4 linked regions of the Saccharomyces cerevisiae S288C genome follow. The gene in region 1 interacts genetically with each later gene. Each region holds a gene or a part of one and is shown in the gene's direction. Other genes may lie near its edges. The genes, in order: RAD16, DGK1, RAD26 and RAD18.

Region 1 (4,490 bases):
TCCGCAGTTGATTGTGTTAATGGGTCGAGTGGCTGCTGAGGAACTGCTGCCTGCTGTTGCTGTTGCTGCTGTTGTTGTTGCTGTTGTTGTTGCTGTTGAGCGGGTTGTTCCATTATTGTTTGTTCACCGCCCGGATTCATTTTTCCTAATTTTTTTTTTCCAGTCGTGTTTTGTTTGTTGTTGTTGCTGTTGTAGTTGTAGTACTAGTCTAAAGGCTTATAGCAGTGAAAAAGAAAAACAGAAATATGGGAAAAGAGGTAACGGGAATACGCCTCTGGTTCAAAGACTAGTGACGTTGTCGTATTTGGCTTTGTTGATTCTAGTTCTCTCAATTGAACTCCTGACGTGGTTTGTAAAAAAACAGAGAACAGGAAACAAAAAACAAAAAGACAAAGAAAAAAATGCGCTTTTGCTTTGATAATCGGAAGGGAAAAGAACGACCGACCGAAGAAAAGAAAAATAAAATAAATTTAAACAAACCTTGTTCGAGTTGGATAGGGGAAAAACGCCAAAAAAAGATGGAGTACAGTACGCGGGAGACCAGTGGCTAGCGACGGGAGTAGCAACGATCGAGAAAGGAGTAGCGCAGAGAAAAGAAAGAAAATAGAGAGATAAAATAATTAGAGCCGATACGGCACCCGTGCGATACGAGACAGGACGGAACAGTCCGGTACGTGTGGTAAGTTTTACGAAACGAGAGGACACGGCATGACATGGCCCACGTTATAAGGCAATTTCCATTTTAGCATTGGCAAACGCACAAGCACAAAAAAGATGTGGAACAACCACTAAGAACGGAGTGTGCACGAAAAAAATAAGCTTTTCTCGTGCCCTGAGTGGTGCACAAAAGAAGAAAAGGGAAAAAAAAAGCGAACGAGGAGTGACGTGGACGCGATGAAGGTGACTCAGCCAATCCGGGTGAGCCGCACCCTTCGTCCTCAGTGACCTCTCACGTGCCCTGTATCAGCCAGCCACTGACAGTTTTGTTTTTGCCGCCCAGCTCAAAACTCAGATCGGATGTGCTTTAGTTTTTATCTTCGTTATGTGGATGTTTCATTAGCTTAAAGCATAGGATACCGAGAAACCGTAACGGTTTCATGTTGACCGGTTTTTGAGTTTATGGTTTTAAAGTTCGTCAGTTGTTCCGACGCTTAGATTTTAAGGAGCTTGTCAAAATGCCTAAACCACAATCCTTACAGCACTCAAAATCAACAAAAAGTGAGAAGGTTTGAAAGTAGTACATCCCCTCTTCCCTTTGATTTTTAGCCGCCAAAACTACCAACCCACACAGCACAAAATGTGTTACTCCTCGAAAAAATCTGTTACCCTTTTCCCGCCATGGTTGCCAGGGAAACAGTGGGGACTTCTGCGTTGCTTCTATTTTTCCCCCCTCCTTCCTCCTGCGCCTCCGTTTCTTTTTCTTCCCTTTTCATTTCCCTTTTCTTTTTTTTTTCAAGTTTCGGATTAACGCTATAAAAAAAATGCACAGATAGGACCTTAAGGACTAATAAAACCGACAGTATAACGACGTAATGCTGCGTGGTGTTTTCAAACCTTAGTAGTTTTGGTAATTTTAGATACTCTTGGCCGTATAACTGGTGTACCAACTGAAAAATCATGCAAGAAGGGGGCTTTATCCGTAGAAGGCGTACGAGAAGTACGAAAAAAAGTGTTAATTATAATGAACTAAGCGATGACGATACAGCTGTGAAAAACTCAAAAACTCTGCAGCTGAAAGGGAACAGCGAAAACGTAAATGACAGCCAAGATGAAGAATACCGTGATGATGCTACGCTCGTGAAATCACCCGACGACGATGACAAAGATTTTATCATAGACCTAACAGGTTCAGATAAAGAGCGGACCGCCACCGATGAGAATACTCATGCGATCAAGAATGATAATGACGAGATAATAGAAATCAAGGAGGAACGTGATGTTTCGGATGACGACGAACCGTTAACAAAGAAAAGGAAGACAACTGCTAGGAAGAAGAAGAAAAAAACGAGCACCAAGAAAAAGTCACCGAAGGTAACCCCATATGAAAGAAACACTTTGCGATTATATGAGCATCATCCTGAACTAAGGAATGTTTTCACGGATTTGAAAAATGCACCTCCCTATGTCCCCCAAAGATCCAAGCAGCCGGATGGTATGACCATCAAACTGCTACCTTTCCAGTTAGAAGGTCTTCATTGGCTAATATCTCAAGAGGAGAGCATTTATGCGGGCGGTGTTTTGGCAGACGAAATGGGTATGGGTAAGACCATCCAAACTATTGCCCTATTAATGAACGATTTGACTAAGTCTCCGTCTTTAGTTGTTGCCCCTACCGTGGCGCTGATGCAGTGGAAAAACGAAATAGAACAACATACAAAGGGACAACTGAAAATATACATTTATCACGGTGCTTCCAGAACCACGGATATCAAAGATTTGCAAGGCTACGATGTTGTACTAACCACTTACGCAGTGCTGGAATCGGTATTCAGAAAGCAAAACTACGGGTTTAGAAGGAAAAATGGACTTTTCAAGCAGCCTTCCGTATTGCATAATATTGACTTTTATAGAGTTATTCTGGATGAGGCACACAATATCAAGGATAGACAAAGCAATACTGCTAGGGCTGTAAACAACTTAAAAACGCAAAAGCGATGGTGCCTGTCGGGTACTCCGCTGCAAAATAGAATTGGTGAGATGTATTCTTTGATCAGATTCTTAAATATCAATCCTTTCACAAAGTACTTTTGTACCAAGTGTGATTGCGCTTCGAAGGACTGGAAATTTACGGATCGCATGCATTGTGACCATTGTAGTCACGTCATTATGCAACACACGAATTTCTTCAACCATTTCATGTTGAAGAACATTCAGAAATTTGGTGTGGAAGGTCCTGGTTTAGAGTCTTTTAATAACATTCAGACATTATTGAAAAACATCATGCTGCGAAGAACTAAAGTGGAAAGAGCGGATGACTTGGGTCTACCGCCCAGAATTGTTACCGTGAGGAGAGACTTCTTCAATGAAGAGGAAAAAGATCTTTACAGAAGTTTATACACAGATTCTAAAAGGAAGTATAATTCCTTTGTTGAGGAGGGTGTTGTTCTAAACAATTATGCAAACATTTTCACCCTAATCACAAGAATGAGGCAACTGGCAGATCATCCTGATTTAGTTTTGAAAAGATTAAACAATTTTCCTGGCGATGATATCGGCGTCGTGATCTGCCAATTATGTAACGATGAAGCTGAGGAGCCCATTGAATCTAAATGTCACCATAAGTTCTGTCGTTTATGCATCAAAGAATATGTGGAATCTTTCATGGAAAACAACAATAAACTTACTTGTCCTGTTTGTCATATCGGGCTAAGTATCGATTTGTCTCAACCTGCTTTGGAAGTGGACCTTGATTCCTTCAAAAAGCAAAGTATTGTTAGCCGTCTAAACATGAGTGGCAAGTGGCAATCATCAACGAAAATCGAAGCACTTGTGGAAGAACTATACAAACTGAGAAGCAACAAGAGAACGATTAAATCCATTGTGTTTTCCCAGTTTACCAGTATGCTGGATCTGGTAGAGTGGAGATTGAAAAGAGCTGGATTTCAAACAGTGAAGCTTCAGGGTAGTATGTCACCGACGCAAAGAGATGAAACCATCAAGTATTTCATGAACAACATTCAATGCGAGGTTTTCTTGGTCAGTTTAAAGGCGGGCGGTGTTGCTTTGAATCTTTGTGAAGCTTCGCAAGTATTCATTTTAGACCCATGGTGGAACCCTAGTGTTGAATGGCAAAGTGGTGATAGAGTTCATAGAATTGGTCAGTATCGACCTGTGAAGATCACAAGGTTTTGCATTGAGGATAGTATAGAAGCAAGAATCATTGAATTACAGGAAAAAAAGGCAAATATGATTCATGCTACAATAAACCAAGATGAAGCTGCCATTAGCAGACTAACGCCAGCTGATTTACAGTTCTTATTCAATAACTAATATTTTATTCTCTTATTATATATTATTCTCGGAGTTTTTAAGTGACATCACCCGAAAAGAAGCTAAGTCTTTCTCCTAATTCATATTTAATTATTGTACATGGACATATCATACGTAATGCTCAACCTTAAGCTGCTGCGGAGCTTCCACGAGCACCAGCACCTGAAGCAACTAGACTTATTTGCGCTTGAGTTAGTTCTATACTTGGCAGTGGAAGTTTGTCATTATGAGTTGGTGGAGGTAAAAATCCAACCTTGTTTAAAAATGCAATATATATACCAACCTCTTCTGGAGTAACACCTATTCCATTAGACCAATCAACACCTGTCCATGCGGTGTCTTTCTTTAAAGATGCCACGGCGTTCCTATCGTCTAGTTCCGGAGCTTTGGTACTTTCAGGTAAGTTGTCTAAGACCATGTGTAGCAAAGGATACAACGCATTTTCTTCATTCCTGTCAATAACAGACGCCTCCAATGATTTCTTCCATTTAGAATAGCTT
Region 2 (7,248 bases), on another chromosome or scaffold:
GATTTTTTTGTTCTACTTAAAAGAGCCAAGGAGACCTAAAAAAGATAGTTATGAATATCCTCAGTATTGTTTACCCCTATACAAAAGTTCTAATCCAATAAATATGTAATGTTAAGTAAAAAGACGGAGAAGAAGCAGTAAAATAAGTCTCTTTCCTCTCCGAAGTAACGAAAAGAAAAGAGCAGAAAAGAAAAAACGCCGGTCTCGCTGCCTATGGTTCTATTTAAAATCATAGCATACAATAGACTTCGTAATGAAGATAACTGGACTTCTTTGCAACGGTGTTCGTCTATGCGGTCGTTAAGACACAAGGACTCAAGAGGGTTTAGTATCCTTTTTTTGTTGGTTCCTGCAGCAGCGTCAGACGCGTTGCTGATTATCGCCGATTGACGCGCGCCACAAAAACGTATCATTGTCATTAATTCATAAATTTTGGAACTATAAATTGCTAAGAAGTGTTCACTTTTTACCTCCTTCTACTACACTTTCGACAAAATTTCTTCCTTTGTTATTTTTGAGAGGCAAGCAACAAGAACATAAAAAATTGTTTTTGCTACATTGGTTTCACATAACATATTTCAACAAACATGCCATCAAATTTGAATATAGTGAAGGTTACAAAACCACAAGAAGAAAATAAGAATTTTTTACACAAAAACACGAATGAACCCAATGAAATGGAACAATCGCAGACACAAGAAGCAGTTACAGAAAATTTTACCGAAAACAGTAATCTCAGTGCAAATGAACATGCAGCTAGGAGGGGTAGATTAAATTTGAAAACAGTTGATCACATAGAAACTTATCCAATAGTGCAAGAAACAGAAGAGATTGCAAAGAAGATTGCTCTAACGAGAATTATTTTAGCACAAACAAAGCCTAGAATCGATAAAGTGGTAGTGTCACGTCCCGTTCAAGCCGTAGCACCAGTGGTCAATTTTTTTGACAAGATGGCCAATTCGACTTTAAGTACAGTAGAGCGCGTTGTCCCTTCTTTGAAAACAAAAACTTATAAAAGATTAGGTGAGGAAATTGCACTTCCGTATACTTTGTCGAAAAAGTATGGAAAGCAGCTCAGGGATACGACAGCAAGAAATGGAGACAACTATGTTTACCAACCTGTCCATGGAAGGTTGATGAAATTTAGGAAGTACTATAATGAAAAATTCATAGACACAAAGGGCAAGCCTTTGATAAGGGGGCAACTTGACCCTGTTTTGTTACCAGTCAATAATACATTCGAAAAGGTAACGGTAAAGTATTTGCCCAAAGGTAAGAAAGTTCCAAATGATTCCTTTTCTTGTGAGTTTAATAGGGGGCTAGCTTTAGAATACAATTTTATGACAAGAGCAGTTTCTGCAGTTAGTCATCAAGTTGTTGGTATTGCAAAGCTTCCCATTGCCTATGGATATCATACAAACTCTGTTTATAATAAAAACTTAGACAAACAGGCCGATTTAAAAATGAAAAATGTATTGAGAGGTACTTGGGATACCATAACTGATTTAGAACGCGAAATTTGGGCCTCTGTCACCGATAGAAGTTTGTTTAGATTTTTTGGCAACAAATCTGAGGGAGGAGATTTACCACATCTAGTACAATAAGTTCGCATAGAAAATAATTTTAATATAGGCGAGAATTTCAATTTGTACCTACTGGCGCAAATTCAATAGGTGTTATCTATTGAAAGCACTGAACTTAAATTTACCAATGTATACACGCTCAACATAAAAAAGAGGTAAAAGAAAATATATTTTTTTGTAAGGAAAGGCTTAATAAATATTTACAAGCTAGATAAAAAAAAAATCAAATAGCAAGCTATTCTGTCATATCTTAAGGTGCTGATTGTTTGTAGGCACGAAGTAAACAAGCTCTTCCCCAAAACAATAAATACGGTTTTCGGGACTGTTCACCCGTACATTTTACGTTTCCGACGGCGCGATGCTATCTTTGAATTTTTATCTCTTTCAGGTAACCCCATGACCAGTAGGGCGGCTTACTACCGAAGAGAAAAATGTCCGCGGCCTAGACAGTTACTTCCCAGGCCAGGGCCAGGCCACACGGACAGAGGCAGATTCCAAGTTGTTCCGCATAGTCTGTCTAGCTCTTTCTCAATTTTCCGCCAGATTCTGTCTAATTTCTTTCCGCTCGAGTTGGCAACAGTACGAAGAAGTAACTCTAATAGATAGATATAACCGTTTTTGAGGGCATTATTTTTGCAGAAGATAATAGAAGAGAACCGTAACAAAGGAATCAAGCAAAGAAAAAGTATGTAATAGAATGTATTGTATGCTTGTGGAATGAATGTCAATGTAGCTATTTTATATGGTGAGCTCAAATTGAATGAACATATCGTGGAAATTTAAAATACTGAAGAATACCCAATAAGTCAATGCAACCTGTGAATGTTTTTCCTGAAATACGCCGAATACTGAATACGATTATTACCATAAATTGCTTCTAGAAGGAAGGCGGTGTACCATTTAATACTGATGATATGGTTAATATCATTTGAGAAGTCTTCACATGAGGACTATAGAACTACCATCCAGGAATTATAGAGGAAATTAACTGAATCAGAGATCTATTTTGAAACATTCATTTACATGTAATTGTCTGCAATAAAGCAATATTTTTGAAATATGCAAGTTTACTAACAAGAATAAATTCTTTTTTGATTTTTATCTTTAACAGTGGCTCATTTCAAAGAATACCAAGTCATTGGTCGTCGTTTACCAACTGAATCCGTTCCAGAACCAAAGTTGTTCAGAATGAGAATTTTTGCTTCAAATGAAGTCATCGCCAAGTCTCGTTACTGGTATTTCTTGCAAAAATTGCACAAGGTTAAGAAGGCTTCTGGTGAAATTGTTTCCATCAACCAAATCAACGAAGCTCACCCAACCAAGGTCAAGAACTTCGGTGTTTGGGTTAGATACGATTCCAGATCTGGTACTCACAACATGTACAAGGAAATCAGAGACGTATCCAGAGTTGCTGCCGTCGAAACCTTATACCAAGACATGGCTGCTAGACACAGAGCTAGATTTAGATCTATTCACATCTTGAAGGTTGCTGAAATTGAAAAGACTGCTGATGTCAAGAGACAATACGTCAAGCAATTCTTGACCAAGGATTTAAAATTCCCATTACCTCACAGAGTCCAAAAATCTACCAAGACTTTCTCTTACAAGAGACCATCAACCTTCTACTAAGCCAACAAGATATTTCTACGTTTTTTAGTATAATAAAATTTTGTATAATTCATTTTGTAGATTCAAGGAAATTTTAAAATATATCCTGTTTCTTCTCTTACATTATGCACTACCAGCGTGAAAGCACAATGTCATGCCATGTATCTTTACAAAATCCAGGGTCCATAGCGGGTAACAAATTATTGGTTTTTCTGCGATAAATATAAAACGTAGCGTAATTATAAAAATCCTGAGCGGTGTTGTCGTAGAGCAGTTGAACATTACGTAAACAGATATCTACGCATTTCTGTCATTTGGATTCATACAGGGTTTACAGACAATATGGGGACCGAAGATGCCATTGCCCTTCCAAATAGCACGCTAGAGCCGCGTACCGAAGCTAAGCAAAGACTATCATCTAAGAGTCATCAAGTCTCGGCGAAAGTAACGATTCCAGCAAAAGAAGAAATTAGTAGTAGCGATGACGATGCACACGTTCCAGTGACAGAAATACATTTGAAATCTCATGAATGGTTCGGCGATTTTATAACTAAACATGAAATTCCCCGTAAGGTGTTCCATTCTTCCATTGGCTTTATTACTTTGTACCTGTATACGCAGGGTATTAATTATAAAAATGTTTTATGGCCTTTGATATACGCCTTCATCATATTGTTTATTTTGGATCTGATAAGACTAAACTGGCCCTTTTTCAATATGCTTTACTGTAGAACTGTGGGTGCGCTAATGAGAAAAAAGGAGATTCATACATACAATGGGGTATTGTGGTACATTCTTGGGTTAATCTTTTCTTTTAACTTTTTCTCTAAAGATGTTACCTTAATATCGTTATTTTTGCTAAGTTGGTCCGATACAGCCGCCGCAACTATTGGAAGAAAGTATGGTCATTTAACACCCAAAGTGGCAAGAAATAAATCCCTTGCAGGTTCGATAGCTGCGTTTACAGTTGGTGTTATCACCTGCTGGGTATTTTATGGCTATTTTGTTCCTGCCTACAGCTACGTCAACAAACCTGGCGAGATCCAATGGAGCCCAGAAACAAGCAGATTAAGTTTGAATATGCTATCCTTGTTAGGTGGTGTGGTAGCTGCTTTGAGTGAAGGTATAGATTTGTTCAACTGGGATGATAATTTCACTATTCCTGTCCTGTCATCACTTTTTATGAACGCAGTAATCAAAACATTCAAGAAATAAAAGCATATATACCAAAAACAGGAGTGTTTTATATTCTTCGGTAAGTCTTTTTTACAGTAACTGGAGTGCGCGATTCAGTTTATCTGTGGTTAACGATCCAGCACCTCTTCGATCTTTGGCATCCACAAATTATTTTTCTAAATATCCTACATATCCGAGTATAGAGTTAGAACCTGTGTAAATTATTCAGCAGTATTTCCGTATTTTTCACGCCATTAGAAACATTCGACACAAGCAGTTTTATGAAAACATTTATGTTACTAATATATGTGCCAACAAGCGCATCCAAATGGGGCGCAACATTATTATTTAATCGTAAACCTACACCATATTTTCATCAGTAAAAAAAGGCTTTTTCATGCCCCAACTTTGTCACAAAGCAATCATATCAGAGAACAATAAAAAAGAACAATCCTGCGAAATACGATTACCAAGATCCTGAACCAGCGTTCATTTATCTTGGCATCTCAAGGATATATGGTTTATCTGCGATTACCGCCCAGTGGCCTTATTGATATTGATATCATTGTGTACGTTAGAACAGAAAAAAAGAAATTTGGAAAATTTTTCAACCTCATCGAAAATTTTCAGAAAAGCAAGAATTATTTATGCTTTCGCAAAAATTTCGCATATAAGTTATTTTTGAAATAGCAGTCGATACCAAATTAGCTGTAGAACCTCAACCTCCTCATACAATGGCTTACGTTTTAACTGAAACTTCAGCTGGTTATGCTCTTTTAAAAGCTTCCGATAAGAAAATCTACAAATCTTCAAGCTTAATTCAAGACTTGGATAGCTCTGACAAAGTCTTGAAGGAATTCAAGATCGCCGCCTTTTCCAAGTTCAACTCTGCAGCTAACGCTTTAGAGGAAGCCAACTCCATTATTGAAGGTAAAGTTTCTTCCCAATTAGAAAAACTTCTGGAAGAAATTAAAAAGGACAAGAAGTCGACCTTGATTGTTAGTGAAACTAAACTGGCAAACGCTATTAATAAGTTGGGATTGAACTTCAATGTTGTTTCCGATGCTGTAACCTTAGATATCTATAGAGCTATCAAAGAATATTTGCCAGAATTGCTGCCAGGTATGTCTGATAATGATCTAAGCAAGATGTCTTTGGGTTTAGCTCATTCCATCGGTCGTCACAAATTAAAATTTTCTGCTGACAAAGTTGATGTTATGATTATTCAAGCAATTGCTTTATTGGATGATTTAGATAAAGAATTAAACACATATGCCATGAGATGTAAAGAATGGTACGGGTGGCACTTTCCTGAGTTAGCTAAGATTGTTACTGATTCCGTCGCTTATGCGAGAATTATTCTAACAATGGGTATCAGATCCAAGGCTTCTGAAACAGATTTGAGTGAAATCTTACCAGAAGAGATTGAAGAACGTGTCAAAACCGCTGCTGAAGTGTCTATGGGTACTGAAATCACTCAAACCGATCTAGACAACATTAATGCTTTAGCTGAACAAATAGTCGAATTTGCCGCTTACAGAGAACAGTTGTCCAATTACTTGTCTGCAAGAATGAAGGCTATTGCTCCAAACTTGACTCAGTTGGTTGGTGAATTAGTTGGTGCTAGACTTATCGCTCATTCAGGTTCCTTAATTTCCTTGGCCAAATCACCAGCTTCTACCATCCAAATATTAGGTGCCGAAAAGGCTTTATTCAGAGCTTTAAAGACCAAGCATGATACACCAAAGTATGGTTTGCTATATCATGCCTCTCTTGTTGGTCAAGCTACTGGTAAGAACAAAGGTAAGATTGCAAGAGTTCTGGCTGCTAAGGCCGCTGTCTCATTGCGTTATGATGCTTTAGCTGAAGATAGAGACGATTCAGGTGACATTGGTCTAGAATCAAGAGCCAAAGTAGAAAATAGATTATCCCAATTAGAAGGTAGAGATTTAAGAACTACTCCAAAGGTTGTTCGTGAGGCTAAGAAGGTGGAAATGACTGAAGCTAGGGCCTACAATGCAGATGCTGATACCGCAAAGGCTGCTTCTGATTCTGAATCCGATTCTGATGATGAAGAGGAAGAAAAGAAAGAAAAGAAAGAAAAGAAGAGAAAGAGAGACGATGATGAAGATTCCAAGGATTCTAAAAAAGCTAAGAAGGAAAAGAAGGACAAGAAGGAAAAGAAGGAAAAGAAGGAAAAGAAGGAGAAGAAAGAGAAGAAAGAGAAGAAGGAAAAGAAGTCCAAGAAAGAGAAGAAAGAGAAGAAATAAGGATGCATTTTACATTTTAATAATTAGTGACCCCTCGCGTTCCCTTTTATTTGGATTTAGAAAATTTTCTATAATTATCCAATGCTTAACCTATTTCTCATTTCATATTTTATTCCATAATCTGTAAATTAGTGCTGTACGCCCATATTGAATTGAACTTATTATTTTTTTTAGGTGATATATTTGAAATAGTATACATAATTTATGTTTACATAGTTTTAGGTACTTTATATCATTAAAAGTTTTGTTTAACCTTTAAAAAATTTGTACCATTAGCAGTTATAGGTATTCATATCGTGAACTGCGCAACTTAAAATTATTCGCGGGACGAAAAAGATATACAAAATTTTTGAAAGTGAGCAAAGGATGAGATGGTGCAATCGTTACTATTTGATATTAATAAAAAGGCAATCATCACATCAACCCTTAATTAATTTATGAACAAAACGGAAAACCTTTCTATTGAGGAGACAAATGAAATAAGGGAAAAGCTGGGTATGAAACCTATTCCAGTTTTTCAAGAAAAGAATACAGACCATAAAGAGTCTTTGTCAATCGAAGAGACGAATGAGTTGAGGGCGTCCCTTGGCCTAAAACTTATCCCACCCCAA
Region 3 (9,734 bases), on another chromosome or scaffold:
GTGCAATGCCCAAGACACATCCCTCATCAATATGCTTTTTTGAATATTTTTATGTGATAAAAATAACTTCACGCCCAACAAGAACCTAACACCGTTGTAATCTACTATATTCTCATTTTTGGTGACTTCATCCACTGCTTCAATGACTGTGATAAGCGTGATCTGCTGGTGGCGGGTTAGATAAGGCAAAGTTGTTTTCGTTAGTTGCTCAGTAAGTGCTAGAGACACTGTCTTATTGAAACAGGGGTATGGATCAGGGAAAGATTCGACCGGATAGTCTCTATCTTTAGCAATAAAGTACTTTAATGGATCCATTCCTAGATTGGAATCCAAATTAGATACATCTTGCGATTCAAAGTCTAATTTTCTTAACGCTAAAAACAATCTTAATAACAGCTCCTTGACAAGTTGTAACTTATTCGCATAAATGGCTTGAATCAAAAATTGTGGATGATAAACTGGAAGTGGACCATTTAAAACACTACTTAAATGGAGAATATCATTTGATAAAATTTTTCTTGAACCAATTGATTGGTACGTAAATGGATCAGTCAAATCCAGAGATTTATCCTTGATGTAAAATTGATTTCCGGAAGCAACAACAAACGTGCCATTTTTCATCCATACGGAGTCACCTATATTATGAGCTGTATGTGCTGTGATATCAATTTTTTCAATAGGTAGGTAACTAGGTGTGTTGTTCGTGTAATCATACCTTAATTGAGTATAAAGTAAAGCGTATCCTGTAAATCCGATAGAGACAATGCTTTGGCCATATTCCGTGCTTGTCCAATCTATATCCTCGATAGGATTATGAAATGTTTCTTCGTATTCAAGAACTCCCCTGTTCAGGTCCCATAGTGACATTACTTTACCAGTAGAATTAACAATACATAACTTACCTGTAGATGATCCTCTAATACATGTACAATTCATTATTCCGGTGTTAATTTCACATGCCTTGATCCATTGGACATGCCTATCATTATAATTAACGATGGCTTTATACGTTCTGGTAAGACCTTTTTTAGTAATCAAAGAAATCAAAGGCCTGTTACTCACAAAAGTTTGATGTACAGGGTCAATAATGGAGATCTTGTATATGTCGTCACCATCGATATCTAATGAATCAGACTTTACTTCAAAAATACCACGTGTTAAAGAGACTTCAAAAGCTTTGATTGAACCATCAGAGAATATTAACGCGGTGAAATGACGCTCATGACTATGCTTTGGCTCAGGTGTATTTAACATAACTATTGGATGGATTTTTTTCTCCTCTTTCAGTCTCGTTTCCACACGTAAATATGATTGCTTCTGTTCACTGTCCTCCTTACGATTCGTTGGACATTCCCAGGCTTGTAAAGCCCCATTTTCGAGAAGACAGATGACCTGTTTACCCAACTCATGTACAACTGCAAATTTTATGGGAGATTCTGTTTGTATTGTATTTTGTAACCGCAGTGAAACCCCATGGTTTAACTTTTGTGGGTACCAAACGCCATTTTCTGAGAATCTCGAAGTGGTTAATAAAGCTTCGCCGTCGCTGCTTCTTACCAACTTCTGCACAGATTTGTTATGTCCCGTAAATTTGTGCTCTAAAGCGGCACTCAGATCTTCGGTTTTATTGTTTATAAGCTGCAGAATGTCGATTAGTAAATGTCTGATTACACCTTGTAAATCGTGGACGAGAAAAGAAAGTTTGCCCTTCACATTGTCATAGGGTTGTATTTCGGGGAGGTACAAATATCTTGTATCGTTTAGCATAGTTGCTTTCTTGACTTTTTTATGGGAAATGGTCTTTTTAGTCATTGGTTTTGGAGGATCTTGGGAAAGATTATTCAAAGCCAAAACTTCCATTTCCCCAGTCATTGAACCCAGAATAACAATGTCTGAGTCAGATATATCAAAGATTTCCGAGTCTTTCACACTGAGAGTTTGCCTAATGATCCAATTGTCTATTATCACGCAGAACTTCTGCGTGGGGGAAAGAGGCACTTCACCCCATATTTGCACAGTATGGTTTTTCTCCATTTCAAAACAAGACCATATTCTCAGAACTTTATCTTCACACAGCGTATAAAGAGCATGAGAGGCAGTGTTGTTTTTACTCACCTGGTCTGGCTCTTTTTTCCACCGCATTGCAGTTATAGGTTTCGGATGAGGCAACATAGTAAGGTTAAAGATGGCTTGTTCTCCGACTATTGAAACACGCTTCCATAGTTTAGCATTACAGTCGTACTTCCCAATACTGACTATCAGCTGCGAATCTTGTGATATAATCACATTATAAACAGGTTTAGGCTGTTTTTGGTTCCACTGCAAAATAGGTTGATACACACCAAAATTATCCTTAATTTTCCAAAAAGAAAGAAAATCAGATCCAATGGCTAACTCATTATCAGAAGACCATCTTAGGCAGTTTACTGGCGTGTCATCATGGAACAACTGGCAACATTGGGTCCACTTGGGATTCTGCATAATTTGATGAATGGGCTTGTAGATGAGCACCCTATTGTGGAAGGAAAGGGCAATGAATCCATTCTGGCTGTTAATATCGACCGCAGTACAGTCTGATTGTGTATATATGGTCTGTAACCTAGTGAATTTGTTGGTAAGTATGATTAAATTATTCCCTGAACAATATGCAAAGATGGTATGATTTTGCCATGTTGCTTGACAAGCTGTCTGAGGGGTAGCATTGGGGCGTCCTGGAAGAAAGTTCAATGACATGAGAACTACCTTTGCGTGTGCACGTTTGTTTACTTTCTCAATTGTTTGCGGTGTTCTTAGATCCCTTTAATTATTAAAAAAACTGAAGTGCTTGAAACAATAACATAACGAGGTTTCGCTATGCGGGCAGCTTTAAAGAAAGAGGGATAGTATATTAAAAGGCTGCCATAACAATTAATCGGAACAGAATAGACACAAATAAATTTGCAGTGCGTTTGTAGATATCAAAGAATGGTAGCTAGTTGTAAAGATCAGAAGAAGGCTGTCGCTATATGTTTGCAGAGATCGCCCTGTGTCATGATAGAGAGACATAACCCTCAAGAATGTCTTGACAATCCAGAGCTGAATAAGGATCTGCCCGAACTTTGTATTGCTCAGATGAAAGCATTTTTGGATTGTAAGCGAGGAATCGTCGACATGACTAAGCGGTTCACAGGTAACGCACCTCTGTCGACTGGCAAGTACGATCAACAGTACGAAAACTTGTGCAAAGGAAAGTTTGATCCGAGGGAGGAGATGGAAAAGCTAAAACTTCTGAACAGCCAGCAGAAGGACTGATTATTTATGAAAATTGGCCTGTAAATATATACATAAATAAATATATGCGTCAAGCTCTTTTATTCGGTTTGTCCAGTAATCCTCTTACAATATATATATATATATATACGCATGTAGCGTATTCAAGAACATTACATTTAAAAAATAGAGGGTAGAACAATAAAAATGCACTTAACAAGTTCCGTAAGTAGAAATTATAATCAGTCTAAGTACAAATTTATACCTTAGCTTCATTTCAGTTAAGGGCGATGCAATAAAAGTGGAAGAAAAAAAAAGAAGGGAAGAGGTTTGATAATATATATATATATATATATATAACATTGCTCAGAGAAACATACATCAGTGATGGAAGATAAAGAGCAGCAAGACAATGCGAAACTTGAAAACAATGAGTCACTAAAAGATCTGGGAGTTAACGTGCTTTCCCAAAGCAGTTTGGAGGAAAAAATAGCTAATGATGTAACTAACTTTAGCAACCTACAATCGCTGCAGCAAGAAGAGACTCGTCTAGAACGGAGTAAGACCGCTCTGCAACGTTATGTCAATAAGAAGAATCATCTCACAAGGAAGTTGAACAATACCACTAGGATATCTGTTAAGCAGAATCTCCGAGACCAGATCAAGAACTTACAATCAGACGATATTGAACGAGTTCTGAAGGACATAGACGATATCCAATCAAGGATTAAAGAGTTGAAAGAGCAGGTAGATCAAGGTGCTGAAAATAAAGGTTCCAAAGAGGGGCTGCAGAGACCCGGTGAAACTGAGAAGGAGTTTTTAATCAGGACTGGTAAGATCACTGCATTTGGACACAAGGCTGGTTTCAGCTTGGACACTGCAAACAGAGAGTATGCCAAGAATGACGAACAAAAAGATGAGGATTTTGAAATGGCAACAGAACAAATGGTAGAAAATTTAACGGATGAGGATGACAATCTCAGCGATCAAGACTATCAAATGAGTGGTAAAGAGAGTGAAGATGACGAAGAAGAAGAAAATGACGATAAAATTCTCAAAGAACTGGAAGACCTGCGGTTCAGAGGCCAACCTGGTGAGGCGAAGGATGATGGGGACGAGTTGTATTATCAAGAAAGGTTAAAAAAATGGGTGAAACAACGTTCTTGCGGTAGTCAAAGGTCATCGGACTTGCCAGAATGGCGAAGACCTCATCCGAATATTCCCGACGCAAAACTTAATAGCCAGTTCAAAATACCCGGTGAAATATACTCGCTGTTATTTAATTACCAAAAGACGTGCGTTCAGTGGCTCTATGAGCTTTACCAGCAGAACTGTGGCGGTATTATTGGTGACGAAATGGGTCTGGGAAAAACGATTCAAGTTATCGCATTTATCGCAGCGTTGCATCATTCAGGTCTATTAACAGGCCCTGTATTAATTGTCTGTCCTGCAACTGTGATGAAGCAATGGTGTAATGAGTTCCAGCATTGGTGGCCTCCATTGAGGACGGTCATATTGCACTCAATGGGTTCAGGAATGGCTTCTGACCAAAAATTTAAGATGGATGAAAACGATCTAGAGAACTTGATAATGAATTCAAAGCCAAGTGATTTTTCTTACGAGGATTGGAAGAACTCAACAAGGACAAAGAAGGCATTGGAATCAAGCTATCATTTAGATAAGTTGATAGATAAAGTCGTTACTGATGGGCACATTTTAATTACCACGTACGTTGGGTTAAGAATACATTCAGATAAGCTACTAAAAGTTAAATGGCAGTATGCTGTTTTAGATGAGGGACATAAGATTAGAAACCCAGATTCGGAGATTTCATTGACTTGCAAAAAACTGAAGACACATAATAGGATCATTCTTTCAGGAACACCGATACAGAATAATTTAACCGAGCTTTGGTCGCTTTTTGATTTCATTTTCCCTGGTAAATTAGGAACTCTACCTGTGTTTCAACAACAGTTTGTCATACCTATAAATATTGGTGGTTATGCAAACGCAACAAACATACAAGTTCAGACCGGCTACAAATGTGCTGTTGCATTGCGTGACTTGATTTCACCGTACCTGTTACGTCGTGTGAAAGCTGATGTTGCAAAAGATCTGCCACAAAAGAAAGAAATGGTTCTCTTTTGTAAGCTTACGAAATATCAAAGAAGCAAATATTTGGAGTTTCTGCATTCTTCAGATTTAAACCAAATACAAAACGGTAAGAGAAATGTTCTATTTGGTATCGACATTCTAAGGAAAATATGTAATCACCCCGATTTACTTGACAGAGATACAAAGAGACATAATCCAGATTACGGTGATCCTAAAAGATCCGGAAAAATGCAGGTTGTCAAGCAATTATTATTACTGTGGCATAAGCAGGGCTATAAAGCCCTACTCTTCACTCAATCGAGACAAATGCTCGATATTCTAGAGGAGTTTATATCAACGAAAGATCCCGATTTATCACATTTGAACTACCTACGAATGGATGGGACAACTAATATCAAAGGGAGACAGTCGTTAGTTGACCGGTTTAACAATGAATCTTTCGATGTATTCTTACTAACCACAAGAGTTGGGGGGCTAGGTGTTAATTTAACCGGTGCTAATAGAATTATCATTTTTGATCCAGACTGGAACCCATCTACTGACATGCAAGCTCGAGAAAGGGCATGGAGGATTGGGCAGAAAAGAGAGGTATCAATATATAGGTTGATGGTAGGAGGTTCAATAGAGGAGAAGATTTATCATAGACAAATATTCAAACAATTCTTAACCAACAGGATTTTGACTGATCCTAAGCAGAAACGATTTTTCAAAATTCACGAACTCCATGATCTGTTTTCACTGGGGGGTGAAAACGGTTATTCTACAGAAGAATTGAACGAAGAAGTTCAAAAACATACCGAAAATTTAAAAAATTCCAAATCAGAGGAAAGTGACGATTTTGAACAACTGGTCAACCTATCTGGCGTATCTAAACTAGAAAGCTTTTATAACGGTAAGGAAAAAAAAGAGAATAGTAAAACAGAGGATGATAGATTAATCGAAGGGTTGCTAGGAGGAGAGAGCAATTTAGAAACCGTTATGAGTCATGATTCGGTTGTCAATTCGCACGCGGGCAGTTCTTCTTCGAATATAATTACAAAAGAGGCTTCCAGAGTAGCGATTGAGGCGGTTAATGCGCTAAGGAAATCGAGAAAAAAGATCACTAAGCAATATGAAATTGGGACACCTACTTGGACAGGTAGGTTTGGTAAAGCAGGTAAAATTAGAAAGAGAGATCCGTTGAAAAATAAATTAACTGGATCAGCTGCCATTTTAGGCAATATTACAAAATCACAAAAAGAGGCATCCAAGGAAGCTCGCCAAGAAAATTACGACGATGGTATAACCTTCGCAAGATCCAAGGAAATCAATTCCAATACCAAAACGCTAGAAAATATTCGGGCATATTTACAGAAACAGAATAACTTTTTCTCATCTAGTGTTAGCATACTTAACAGCATTGGCGTCAGTCTTTCTGATAAAGAAGACGTTATTAAGGTTAGAGCATTATTAAAAACCATAGCACAGTTTGATAAAGAGCGTAAAGGGTGGGTGCTTGATGAAGAATTTAGGAATAACAATGCTTCATGAAAACTTAGAATGGACAGAGTACCCTTGACGTAACTTTACCCATAGAAATATCTATAAAAAATATGTATGTGTTATGTGTATATGTATATTCTGAAGACTCTTAGCGGAACCCGTAACCTTCAGATTCATTAATTGCCCAAAGTAATTTCAGTTCTAGTTTTTTTTTCGAGGAATAATTCCATAAACATATTTCATTAAAACATGTATGAGCCAATGGCAAATCATCACTATCATGCGACCCTAGCAAGCTAATTTTGAATGGGATAGTAGAGATACCCGTTGCAGGTATACGATCAGATGCCGTTACGAATTGTAATAATTTCTTCTGCAATGGATAGTCCCAACTTTCAATAATTTCCCAAAACCAGCAAACCGCTCTGGAATCATCGGAGAAGCCACCTACATACTTTGTCACGGATCTTAACGATTTGAAATCAAATTTAGTTTGTTCCTCATCACCACACACTAATCTCTCCAGCTCTTCAGAATTAAATAATTTTATAGAATTGCATTCTGCGAAGACCCTTTTAAAACCTGAAACAAATTTATTGTATTGTGGCTCAATGGACTTTTCCAGATAAAATTCTACCCATTTCATGACAAACTCATGCTTGTTACTTTGGGTTATTGGCACATTTCTGCCATTTTCACATAATTCTACCGTTACATACTCTTTGCTCGATTTACTGTCATTTAAAATCCAGTTGTTATTTCGATACGTAGTCTCAAATGTTAAAGAAAAGACGTCTTCGAAATTATCCTCTGTGTAATTGAGCATTTTTATTAAGTTCCTACTTGTCTCCGGAAACAATTCCGAGTAATCTTCAAAACTCAGAGGCTCTGAGCATAGTTTTTTATAAAGCGCCTTTGGAAATTGTAAATCTAATATGGTACTGTTGAAAATCGCCAACCCCATGACAACTCCAAACAAGTAATATAATTCCAGTTGTGAGTTTTTTCCTTTTGATTTGTCAAAATTTGGAGGGTCAATGGCAAACCATGAACGTGAGCTTTCTTTTATGTAAATAAATAAGCCATTCATCGGATTAAACAGCGATTTTGTTAATAAGAAAAACCATTCTTTTCTCAACCCTCCCGCATCAATTCCAGGTTCATTAACAAACTCTATTCTCAGCGATTTTAATAAATCGCCTTGATGTTCCTTGATACATCTCAATGAATCATGAGAAATAACGTCACGCCGTACTTTGATTTTGAAATAAACGTCTACGGATTTGCCTTTATCCAGTGAAATTAAAAAAGCCTGTTCAGCTTCATGTTCCATGATTCTGCGAATTTCATACTCCATAATAGAGATTTTGATGCCGAGTGACAATATAAATGGATACTTACAGAATGAAAAACATTTTTTTGTCGTCGAATTTCCCCACTCTTCAATCAGTTGATTCATTTTTGTCTTTTGAGCTACTCCTCTCCAATGATCGAAATCTTGTTTATAATCTATGAAGTCTAGCGTTATATTGTAAAAGCTTTGAATTGACAACGCTCCACGGCCATTTCTTCTAGTATTGGCTACATAATAGATGAACGTCAATTTTGCTGCAGAGTGAATATGCCAGTCTTCCTCATATTGAAAAAATTTAAATTTCATCTTATTATTGACGGGATGCGTGAAACCACTTCCCTGTTTATCATTTGATTGTGCACTTATTGGTCTAGTACTCAGGAATTCATGGCCAGTAGTGTGATGCCGACGAAGACGAGATCGCATCTCATCTTCAGGCTTCACGTTATTTTTTGCGGTTCTATTTGATAATTCGTTCGACAGTAATCTGGAAAATTGGAAATTGATGTATAAATTTAAAATCTCTACCTGGTATGAAAAATTATCCGTAGGCGTTCGCCGTAATGATTGAATCAATTGTTGAGATGTTTTTGTTGATAGGTTAGACAAGTAGCCAATACATCGTTTGGCCAACTCATAAGACACCGCCCTTATTTGTTGGGTCTCAAACACATTTTTGCTCTTCCGATCTCTAATAAGGCAGGTTCGTATTGTAGGTATATTTAATATAATCAGCAACCAACGATACTGTAATATTTGCAAATTTTCCCCTTTATTGATTGTTATTCTCTTCAGTAGATCGTTACAGCAACACAGCATACTATAATACGGTTTCCTTGTAGGAAGATTTGATAATATACTGTAAAATCTTTGTAAAACTTCATAATTCAGCATCTTTATATTCTTTCCACCATCATGTACCAAGAACGACCTGTTTAAAATGCTAACATCATGAAATCTGTCCAGTAAATACGTTATTACCGGTTGGAAAATCAACCCCTTTCTTTCTTTATCCAGAATCCCAGTCTTCTTAAGCCGCTGCAAATCATCATGGCACCGCCTTACTACCATCTGCAAACCCTCTAATGTGCACGAAATATGCGTACTAGATTCCAAATTACTGTTAATTTCCGGCTCCTTTACAATAACTGTTACTTGGCATGCGCTGCATCGAAATTTCGTTATGGAGGCTGGAAACCGTAGTGGGACACCACAACATAGGCAATTAAGTGAAATTAGACAGGATTTATCTTCTTCCCCTGACACGGATGCCGAAGAGTTCCGCTTATTGCTTTTGCTATTTGAGCAACTTCCGTCCTTTACACTAGCGGCTAAGGACCGTTCCGACGTGCGCCTTCCTGATTTGGGTAACCTGTTCTTAGTATGGGCTACAGAATGTGATAGCAACTCCTTCGACACAGATCCATCTCTACCGTCTTTTTTTGCATTAAGCTTATCAAATAAAGAAACCATTTCCTATTTTACTTTACCTATCAGCCGCAGTATTCGAGAGATATACCTGGTAAATTTCACC
Region 4 (7,732 bases), on another chromosome or scaffold:
TGGATCTGTGAAAAAACGCCTAGAAACATGTATAAAACCTACCGCTTTAAACCATAATTTCAAATCGAAATGGCACTATGGCCGAGTGGTTAAGGCGAGAGACTCGAATGGAATAAAAAGTTCGGCTATCTCTTGGGCTCTGCCCGCGCTGGTTCAAATCCTGCTGGTGTCGTTTAATTTTTTTTAAATAACATCGTTGATTAAAACAATCCTATTCACTGCAGTCACAGACTTAGCACATTTACAACCAGTACAAGATCAATCACACGCGTTGTGGTAGGAACTTTGACGATGATACTGCGTTGGCTCTTGAACGCATAGTACATTTGTCGTTCACAACGGAAAGTGAAATACTGAAAAAAAAAGAAAAATTTTCTTAGGGACTCATCATCAATGTAAACACCTCTACAGCCGTCAAGACTAGCAAAGCTCACCTCACAAAACGACATGCCGCGCATAAAGACCAGAAGATCCAAGCCTGCACCTGACGGGTTCGAAAAAATCAAGCCAACCCTCACAGATTTCGAAATCCAACTCAGAGATGCCCAAAAGGACAAGTCGTCTAAGCTCGCAGCAAAGTCCAATGAGCAGCTCTGGGAGATAATGCAACTCCACCACCAGCGCTCTAGATACATATATACTCTGTACTACAAGAGAAAGGCCATCTCCAAAGACCTTTACGATTGGTTGATAAAGGAAAAGTATGCTGATAAATTGCTAATTGCCAAATGGCGCAAAACCGGGTATGAAAAACTGTGCTGTCTGCGCTGCATTCAAAAGAACGAAACTAACAACGGTAGCACTTGCATCTGCAGGGTGCCTCGTGCACAGTTAGAGGAAGAAGCACGCAAAAAGGGCACACAGGTGTCCTTCCATCAGTGCGTCCACTGCGGCTGCCGTGGATGTGCAAGCACAGACTAACGACTATATGCACGTTGCAGTATTGTTCTGGCCATGTAATTATCTCTCTCCCAACGTTTTAGAAGAGGTTTTCGTCTCCTTCGTCAAAGACGACCACTTTCCCATTTTGGTCATTGGAACGCGAAAAAACAAAACAGACGCGAGAACGCGACGCGAAAAAATATATTTTTCCGTTTTTTTTTTTTTTCGGAACAAAGATAACGCGTTAAAACCTGTGGATGTAATAAGGATCTGAAACACTGACTAAAACGCGTCCTCATTTAAAATCAAAAAATTACTTCTTCTCCTCCCTTACGGTGCCCTTTGATCCTTCTCAAACTTTAAATATATGTTGCATGATTAATTGAAAATCATATAGAGTATATCTTAACAGAGGTTCCAACGCTTTAAATCGTATTCTATTCTTTTCCCCCCTTTTATTATAGTTACATCTACTATTTGAGCTTCTTTTATTGACCGAAACTACCTCTTATTTCGAAGCAAAAAAAAAAAAAATCAACAAAAATTCCAACTTTTCAATGATGAATGAAGACATATCCATCATTGATGGCCATAATAGTTTTTTAACGGAAAAAAGCACCGTGCTATTAACCCAAGCCAAGAGAACACTAGAAGACGAAAAGGAAATGATTACTCCCCCGAGCTCAACTGTGAGAAAAACAATGAAGGAAGTAAATAAGAGGCCGTCGCATCCCCTCTCACCGGATCACTCGTCCCCAATTGCTCCATCTAAGGCCAAGCGCCAAAGATCGGACACATGCGCTCGGTCCAATGGTAACCTAACCTTGGAAGAAATTCTTCAATCTTTGGAAAGAAGAAGAATAAATGGTGAACTCGCCAAGAAACCTCCATATTCGTATGCAACTTTGATTTGCTTGGCCATTTTGCAATCTCAGGAGGGAAAGCTAACGCTATCCCAGATATATCATTGGATCCACGTTCACTTCCCTTATTACAAGCAGAAAGATGCTAGTTGGCAAAATTCAATAAGACATAACTTGTCTTTAAATGATGCGTTCATCAAGACTGAAAAGTCCTGCGATGGTAAGGGTCATTTCTGGGAGGTCAGACCGGGTGCCGAAACAAAATTTTTCAAAGGTGAAAATCGTGGTTATGAATTTGTAAAGGACTCCTTACAAGACATTGGGAAGTATTTTGAAATAGATTCTACACTTGATGAATTAGAACAAGTTGAGAGTGGAGAAGGCAATGATGATCTTCCTGACGAGGAAGAAAGAGAGGAAGCAGGGAAATTCCCTTCCATTGAAATTCAATTGAACTCCTCCCCTATACTGAGAGTTTCCCAGTTACATCACATACCGCAATTGAAAACAGACAACAGTGTACTGAACCCTCACGAAAACCTAGAATCGATGCGGAACATGATAGAAAACGATGTCAACAATATAGATTCCTTGGAACCTCCTTATGTCATGAAGAAATATCATACTTCTTTAGGCTTACCGTCGCTGGTGAATGCCAAAGATCATTTCCAGGCGGGTGTGAAAAACAATAATATCACCCAGGCAAATAGATTTAATACACTCCCTATAACTAGCGCAAAGTCTCCTCAGAATTTCAGAAAATATTTCACCTCATTCAATTCAAATTTTGAAGATTTATCTCCACTTCGAAGTAATGTAGGGGCTGGTTCTCTACTCGACCCACTTCCGTATTCCCCATTGAAGCTGTACGATCAGAAAAATCTTGCGCTCATGTCGAAACCACAATCTCAGCAATCATATTCCAATTCTCAACTTCCACCTCCACCTTCCTCTCATGGTTCGGACTTACTTAAAACACCCAAGATGAGGCATTCCGATGGCTTAGAGAAAACCCCATCGCGGTTGATAAGCACACCTAAGGACGGTAACTCGATTTTGAGGAAATGGCAGACTCCTTCACACCTTTTTGAAGATTTGTACTGTTCTCCGCTATTTAGAGCTATAGAGACTCCAATCAGGTATATCACGACGCCGGGGGGCACTTTGGAAACCCAAATTTCACCAAGAAAGTCCTCTGCACCCGATGTCCTCACAAGCGCAACGAATTCCAAATTTGCTTCAAGCGGGCTGTTTGGCGTGGATGTTTATTCTGTTTGGAAGCGCGCAACTGAAAAGATTTCTGATGGTAACAATACTACGGATAGCAATCAAAAACATCATCCTTATCATAATCACCCTTCCAACGATAGCGGTAATGAAAAGAATTGACTTTTTTTTTTTTTTTTTTTCATTTTCTTTTCCTCACCGAAAACTAATTATTCTTAATCTGATGGATTCATCGCAAACGGTTGGATGAGTCCTAAACTGGGCTGGAGTTATCATATCACATAGCATTTTCTTTTTAATCTTATTGTATTGTCGGGTCAACTAACTTCTTTTCCCGCTCTTCTATGGTATAATCAATTGCAGAAGAGGCAGGAAAAAATTGTAATCATAACAAAAATGATACAAATTTTTTTTCTAAGTTTTATATTTTACATATCTTTATTTTTGATCCTTACGGATTTTTAATACAGTATTTAGCTGAAGTTTCCATTCACTTCACTTACCTTTTTGATCTCTTTTATTTTTACTTGCCCCGTTGCCTTGCATTTTTCAATAGAAAGTGAAAAACTAAGTACCACTTGAGCAATGCCACATTAGAAGAAAAACCATCCGCAAGTGAGCATCACAGCTACTAAGAAAAGGCCATTTTTACTACTCATGGACCACCAAATAACCACTGCAAGCGACTTCACGACTACTTCAATACCGAGCCTGTACCAATTGGATACACTTTTGAGATGTCACATTTGTAAAGATTTTCTAAAAGTCCCCGTCTTAACACCTTGTGGCCATACATTTTGTTCCCTTTGTATTAGAACACATTTGAATAACCAACCAAATTGTCCTCTCTGCCTTTTCGAGTTCAGAGAGTCCTTGCTGAGAAGTGAGTTCCTGGTCAGTGAAATAATTCAAAGTTATACATCCCTACGATCTTCCTTACTAGATGCACTAAGGATACCGAAGCCTACCCCTGTCCCTGAGAATGAGGAAGTACCAGGTCCTGAAAATTCTTCATGGATAGAACTCATATCAGAGTCTGAAAGTGACAGTGTAAATGCCGCTGATGATGACTTGCAAATTGTTGCAACAAGTGAAAGAAAACTTGCCAAAAGATCCATGACTGATATATTACCACTGAGTTCCAAACCATCCAAAAGGAATTTTGCAATGTTCAGAAGTGAACGTATCAAGAAAAAATCAAAGCCAAATGAACAAATGGCCCAGTGCCCCATATGTCAACAATTTTATCCTCTTAAAGCCCTTGAAAAAACACATTTGGATGAATGCCTAACTTTACAATCACTAGGCAAAAAACCAAAAATTTCTACCACTTTCCCTACAGAGTCAAATCCACATAACAAAAGTTCATCCAGATTCAAGGTACGAACTCCAGAAGTCGACAAAAGCTCATGTGGTGAGACCTCACATGTGGATAAGTATTTAAACTCAATGATGAGTGCAGAACACCAAAGATTGCCGAAGATCAATTTTACGTCTATGACTCAATCCCAAATAAAACAAAAACTGTCATCGTTGGGACTGTCAACTAATGGTACTAGGCAAAACATGATTAAAAGATACAATCACTACGAAATGCTTTGGAATTCTAATTTTTGTGATTCTCTAGAACCTGTTGATGAAGCTGAACTAAAAAGACAGTTGTTAAGCTGGGATGTTTCACACAATAAAACCCCCCAAAATAGTAGCAACAAGGGTGGAATTTCTAAATTAATGATAATGAAGAGTAATGGGAAATCTTCTTCATATAGGAAATTACTTGAAAATTTCAAAAACGATAAATTTAATAGGAAAGGATGGATGGTTATGTTTCGGAAGGATTTTGCTAGGCTTATCAGGGAAGCAAAAATGAAAATAAAAACAGGTTCATCGGACAGTTCAGGTTCAGTGGGACATTCTAATGATGGAGATGGTGTTGAAAAAGTTCAAAGTGACCAGGGAACCGAGGATCAGCAAATGGAGAAGGATCAGGACACTGTTATCAACGAAGATAGAGTTGCTGGTGAAAGAAATTTGCCTAACGAAGATTCAACTGATGCTGACTTATCAAGAGAATTAATGGACTTGAATGAATATAGTAAAGACCCACCCGGTAACAATTAAGGTGTGTATATGTAATCAGGCCTGTTTGTTAGCTTGTGCACATTTGTTAATTAATAATTTATTTAAAAATGGGCAAAATATAAATGCATAAAAGATGACATAGAGATATGTGCACAAAGCTATGTAATCATATTTAACATTAATATATATTATTTCGTTATTCACAATTCGTCATGAAGGCCAGCGTAGTTTACGGTTCCTGCTACTGCATTATCATCGTTGACAATGTTTGTATTCGAATTATTATTCAAAGGTGCTGCAATTGTTTGCGGAGGGGCCACTGGATTAGGCAAAGAAGTGATCTCCACGTTAAGTGCTGAAATAACTTCACTAGATAGAGAGACGTCTTCGGTAACATCTACCGTACCAGATGCCTGCATTTCCGTCGTAAGCATTCGGGAAACAGGAGTATTTACATTTTCGCTGATTTTGTGGCGTACCCCAAACGCTTCAGATGAATCTTTTGATGACTGTACTTCTATCATTATTTCTTTCTGTACAAATCCTGATGCATCAATTGAACTAGCAGATATTTTGTGAGGGCTACTTACAAAAGATGGTGCTGTTGTGGTTACACCTGGCATCGGCTGAGCTACTGTGCTTGACGCGCTCTCCACGGATAAAGTTCCCTTGCCTATATCAGACAGAGCGCCAATTGAAGCACCACTACTACTAAAGATCATAGATGCCATAGAAGTCCCTTCAATATTTGTGGATTCTGATAGGGAAGATTGACCAACACTCGTCTTAGGTGATTGTACAGCATCAGTGAAAACACTAGTGGGTTCCGAACTGTCAGCCAAAACACTAGTGGGTTCCGAATTGTCAGCCAAAACACTAGTGGGTTCCAAATTGTCAGCCAACACACTGGTGTATTCCGAATTATCAATCAAGGCACTGGAGCGTTCTGAATCCTCGGTAGAGAAAGCAATTACTCTCGAAGTCTTCGTTTCTGTTTTTGAGAATGAGCTAGTTGCCGTCTCCACAATAGCTGATGAAACAGGTTCAGAGATGGAATGAAATTTAGAAAAAGTGGAATCTGAGATTGAAGGGATTGATTCAGAAGCAAGAACAGAAGAAGTTACAGTCGATACTTCTATTGACTGGAAGCCAGAGGTTATAGATGAATCAGAAAATGTACTCGGATGCGAGGAAATAGAGTCCTGGGATGCTGATGTTGACAAAATTTCTTCATTTGGGATCAAATTAGACGCAACTGAGTCAAATTCGGATGCTATAGAAATAGAATGCGTAGGTGTTTCAACCATACGCTCTAATTCTGATGCTATGGGATCAATTTCGGAGACGGGCGAAGAAACCATAGTGTCTGTGGGCGTCAACAACATTGAAGAAGATGTTGTAACATACTGCTCGGCTTCTGCATTGGAATCTGATGCAGGTATATTCCTATACTCAATTTTTGTAATGACTTCAGTGATTATTTTTGTCTTATAAATCTCTCTCGTGGATGCCGGTTTTGAGTTGTCTAGAAAAGATGTGTTGGCTGCATCATTGGTGGGGTTTGTTTGTGTGGTGGTAACCGCAGTCGCGGTACTTGTGGATAATGCTGTAGTAGGGCTAGTTGTTAACGATGAGGAAAGAGATAATGAAGATGAAGATGAAGACGGCATGTGTGATAGCGAAGGTGATTCAGTACTTAAGAGTTTTGAAACGCTTTCTCTATCTGTTGTTATTTCGCTTTCTGATTGTTCTACTATTAACGAGGACAATTTCTCCTCCAAGTCAGGAGTCGGCTCAGGATATTCTGTGATAGAATTTGAAGATGAGGATAACAAATCTATCGACTCTGAATTCAGTGGAAGCGATGGTTTTTCGACAATATTCGGTTCTGTAGGAGAGGCTAGCGGCTTCGTAATTTCAGAGGTAGGTGAAGACACAATTGGTTCATTAGTGACACTCTCTTCATAGAAAGAAGAAGAAGAAGAAGAAGAAGAAGAAGAAGCTGATGTTGGGATATCTGCAGAAGTGAATTGTGAATCAGCTGATGACGATATCCAAACAAATTTTTGCTCATCTTCTGTGGTGGTTCTCATAGTGCTAGTGTCAAATGAGGAAAATTCAGTCTCTATATCGCTAGCAACATCTGTAGCGCTGATGATATCTGCACTTTCAGTAATGCCTCTGTAATCGTCATTAATAGTGAAATAAGAAGAAGATCCTTGGTCTATGGTAGTGTTTTCCTTGAATTTCGACTTATATATATCATGAGCATGTTTGTAAATAAAGCCGTGCACATTATGTTTGTAGCCTAGTTGAATAGCGCCAGCCAAAACCACTAACAAAACAAAATTCAAGAAAAATTTCCAAATATTTCGTAAAATTGATGACGATGTACCGGAAAGCTTCAGAACGTTGATCGTGTTCCCCATAGAAGTGCTTGCCAAATATCTAGAATCTGGAGAAAAAGTAACTTTTGTTATAGTAGATTCATGTACTCTTGGAACCAACTGAACAAGCTTTAGCTTTTCAACGCTGACGATGGCAACCAAGTTATCGTTAGATGATAATGCAACGAACTTCTTATTTGGGGAGACATCCATCGATGTTATTCCATTCAAATCGAACATGAAGGATGCTGTTTTTAAAATTTTAACACCTTTGGAACTCACACCTAGTTT

What was found.
Region 2: mutations in RAD16 (region 1) and DGK1 together harm fitness less than expected from each alone (positive genetic interaction), as found in Saccharomyces cerevisiae (2 studies listed by BioGRID).
Region 3: of RAD16 (region 1) and RAD26, changing one enhances a phenotype caused by changing the other (phenotypic enhancement), as found in Saccharomyces cerevisiae (8 studies listed by BioGRID, with this or other methods).
Region 4: mutations in RAD16 (region 1) and RAD18 together harm fitness more than expected from each alone (negative genetic interaction), as found in Saccharomyces cerevisiae (2 studies listed by BioGRID).

What each region holds. Positions count from the first base shown.
Region 1 is NC_001134.8:465,631-470,120, forward strand, and holds RAD16 (DNA repair protein RAD16), read left to right. Parts: upstream 1-1,617; coding exon 1,618-3,990; downstream 3,991-4,490. Other genes in the region: transcription regulator CYC8, read right to left, coding at 1-140; LYS2 (L-aminoadipate-semialdehyde dehydrogenase), read right to left, coding at 4,118-4,490.
Region 2 is NC_001147.6:896,214-903,461, reverse strand, and holds DGK1 (diacylglycerol kinase), read left to right. Parts: upstream 1-3,533; coding exon 3,534-4,406; downstream 4,407-7,248. Other genes in the region: YOR314W (uncharacterized protein), read right to left, coding at 90-419; SPS4 (Sps4p), read left to right, coding at 588-1,604; 60S ribosomal protein eL20 RPL20B, read left to right, coding at 2,268-2,268, 2,695-3,212; RNA-processing protein NOP58, read left to right, coding at 5,102-6,637; U4/U6-U5 snRNP complex subunit SNU66, read left to right, coding at 7,075-7,248. UniProt on the Saccharomyces cerevisiae protein: CTP-dependent diacylglycerol kinase that catalyzes the phosphorylation of diacylglycerol (DAG) to phosphatidate (PA). Controls phosphatidate levels at the nuclear envelope.
Region 3 is NC_001142.9:493,719-503,452, forward strand, and holds RAD26 (DNA-dependent ATPase RAD26), read left to right. Parts: upstream 1-3,636; coding exon 3,637-6,894; downstream 6,895-9,734. Other genes in the region: RAV1 (Rav1p), read right to left, coding at 1-2,733; PET191 (Pet191p), read left to right, coding at 2,965-3,291; putative E3 ubiquitin-protein ligase HUL4, read right to left, coding at 6,995-9,673. UniProt on the Saccharomyces cerevisiae protein: May be involved in the preferential repair of active genes.
Region 4 is NC_001135.5:227,871-235,602, forward strand, and holds RAD18 (E3 ubiquitin-protein ligase RAD18), read left to right. Parts: upstream 1-3,629; coding exon 3,630-5,093; downstream 5,094-7,732. Other genes in the region: U2 snRNP complex subunit BUD31, read left to right, coding at 448-921; HCM1 (Hcm1p), read left to right, coding at 1,440-3,134; GTPase-activating protein SED4, read right to left, coding at 5,255-7,732. UniProt on the Saccharomyces cerevisiae protein: E3 RING-finger protein, member of the UBC2/RAD6 epistasis group. Associates to the E2 ubiquitin conjugating enzyme UBC2/RAD6 to form the UBC2-RAD18 ubiquitin ligase complex involved in postreplicative repair (PRR) of damaged DNA.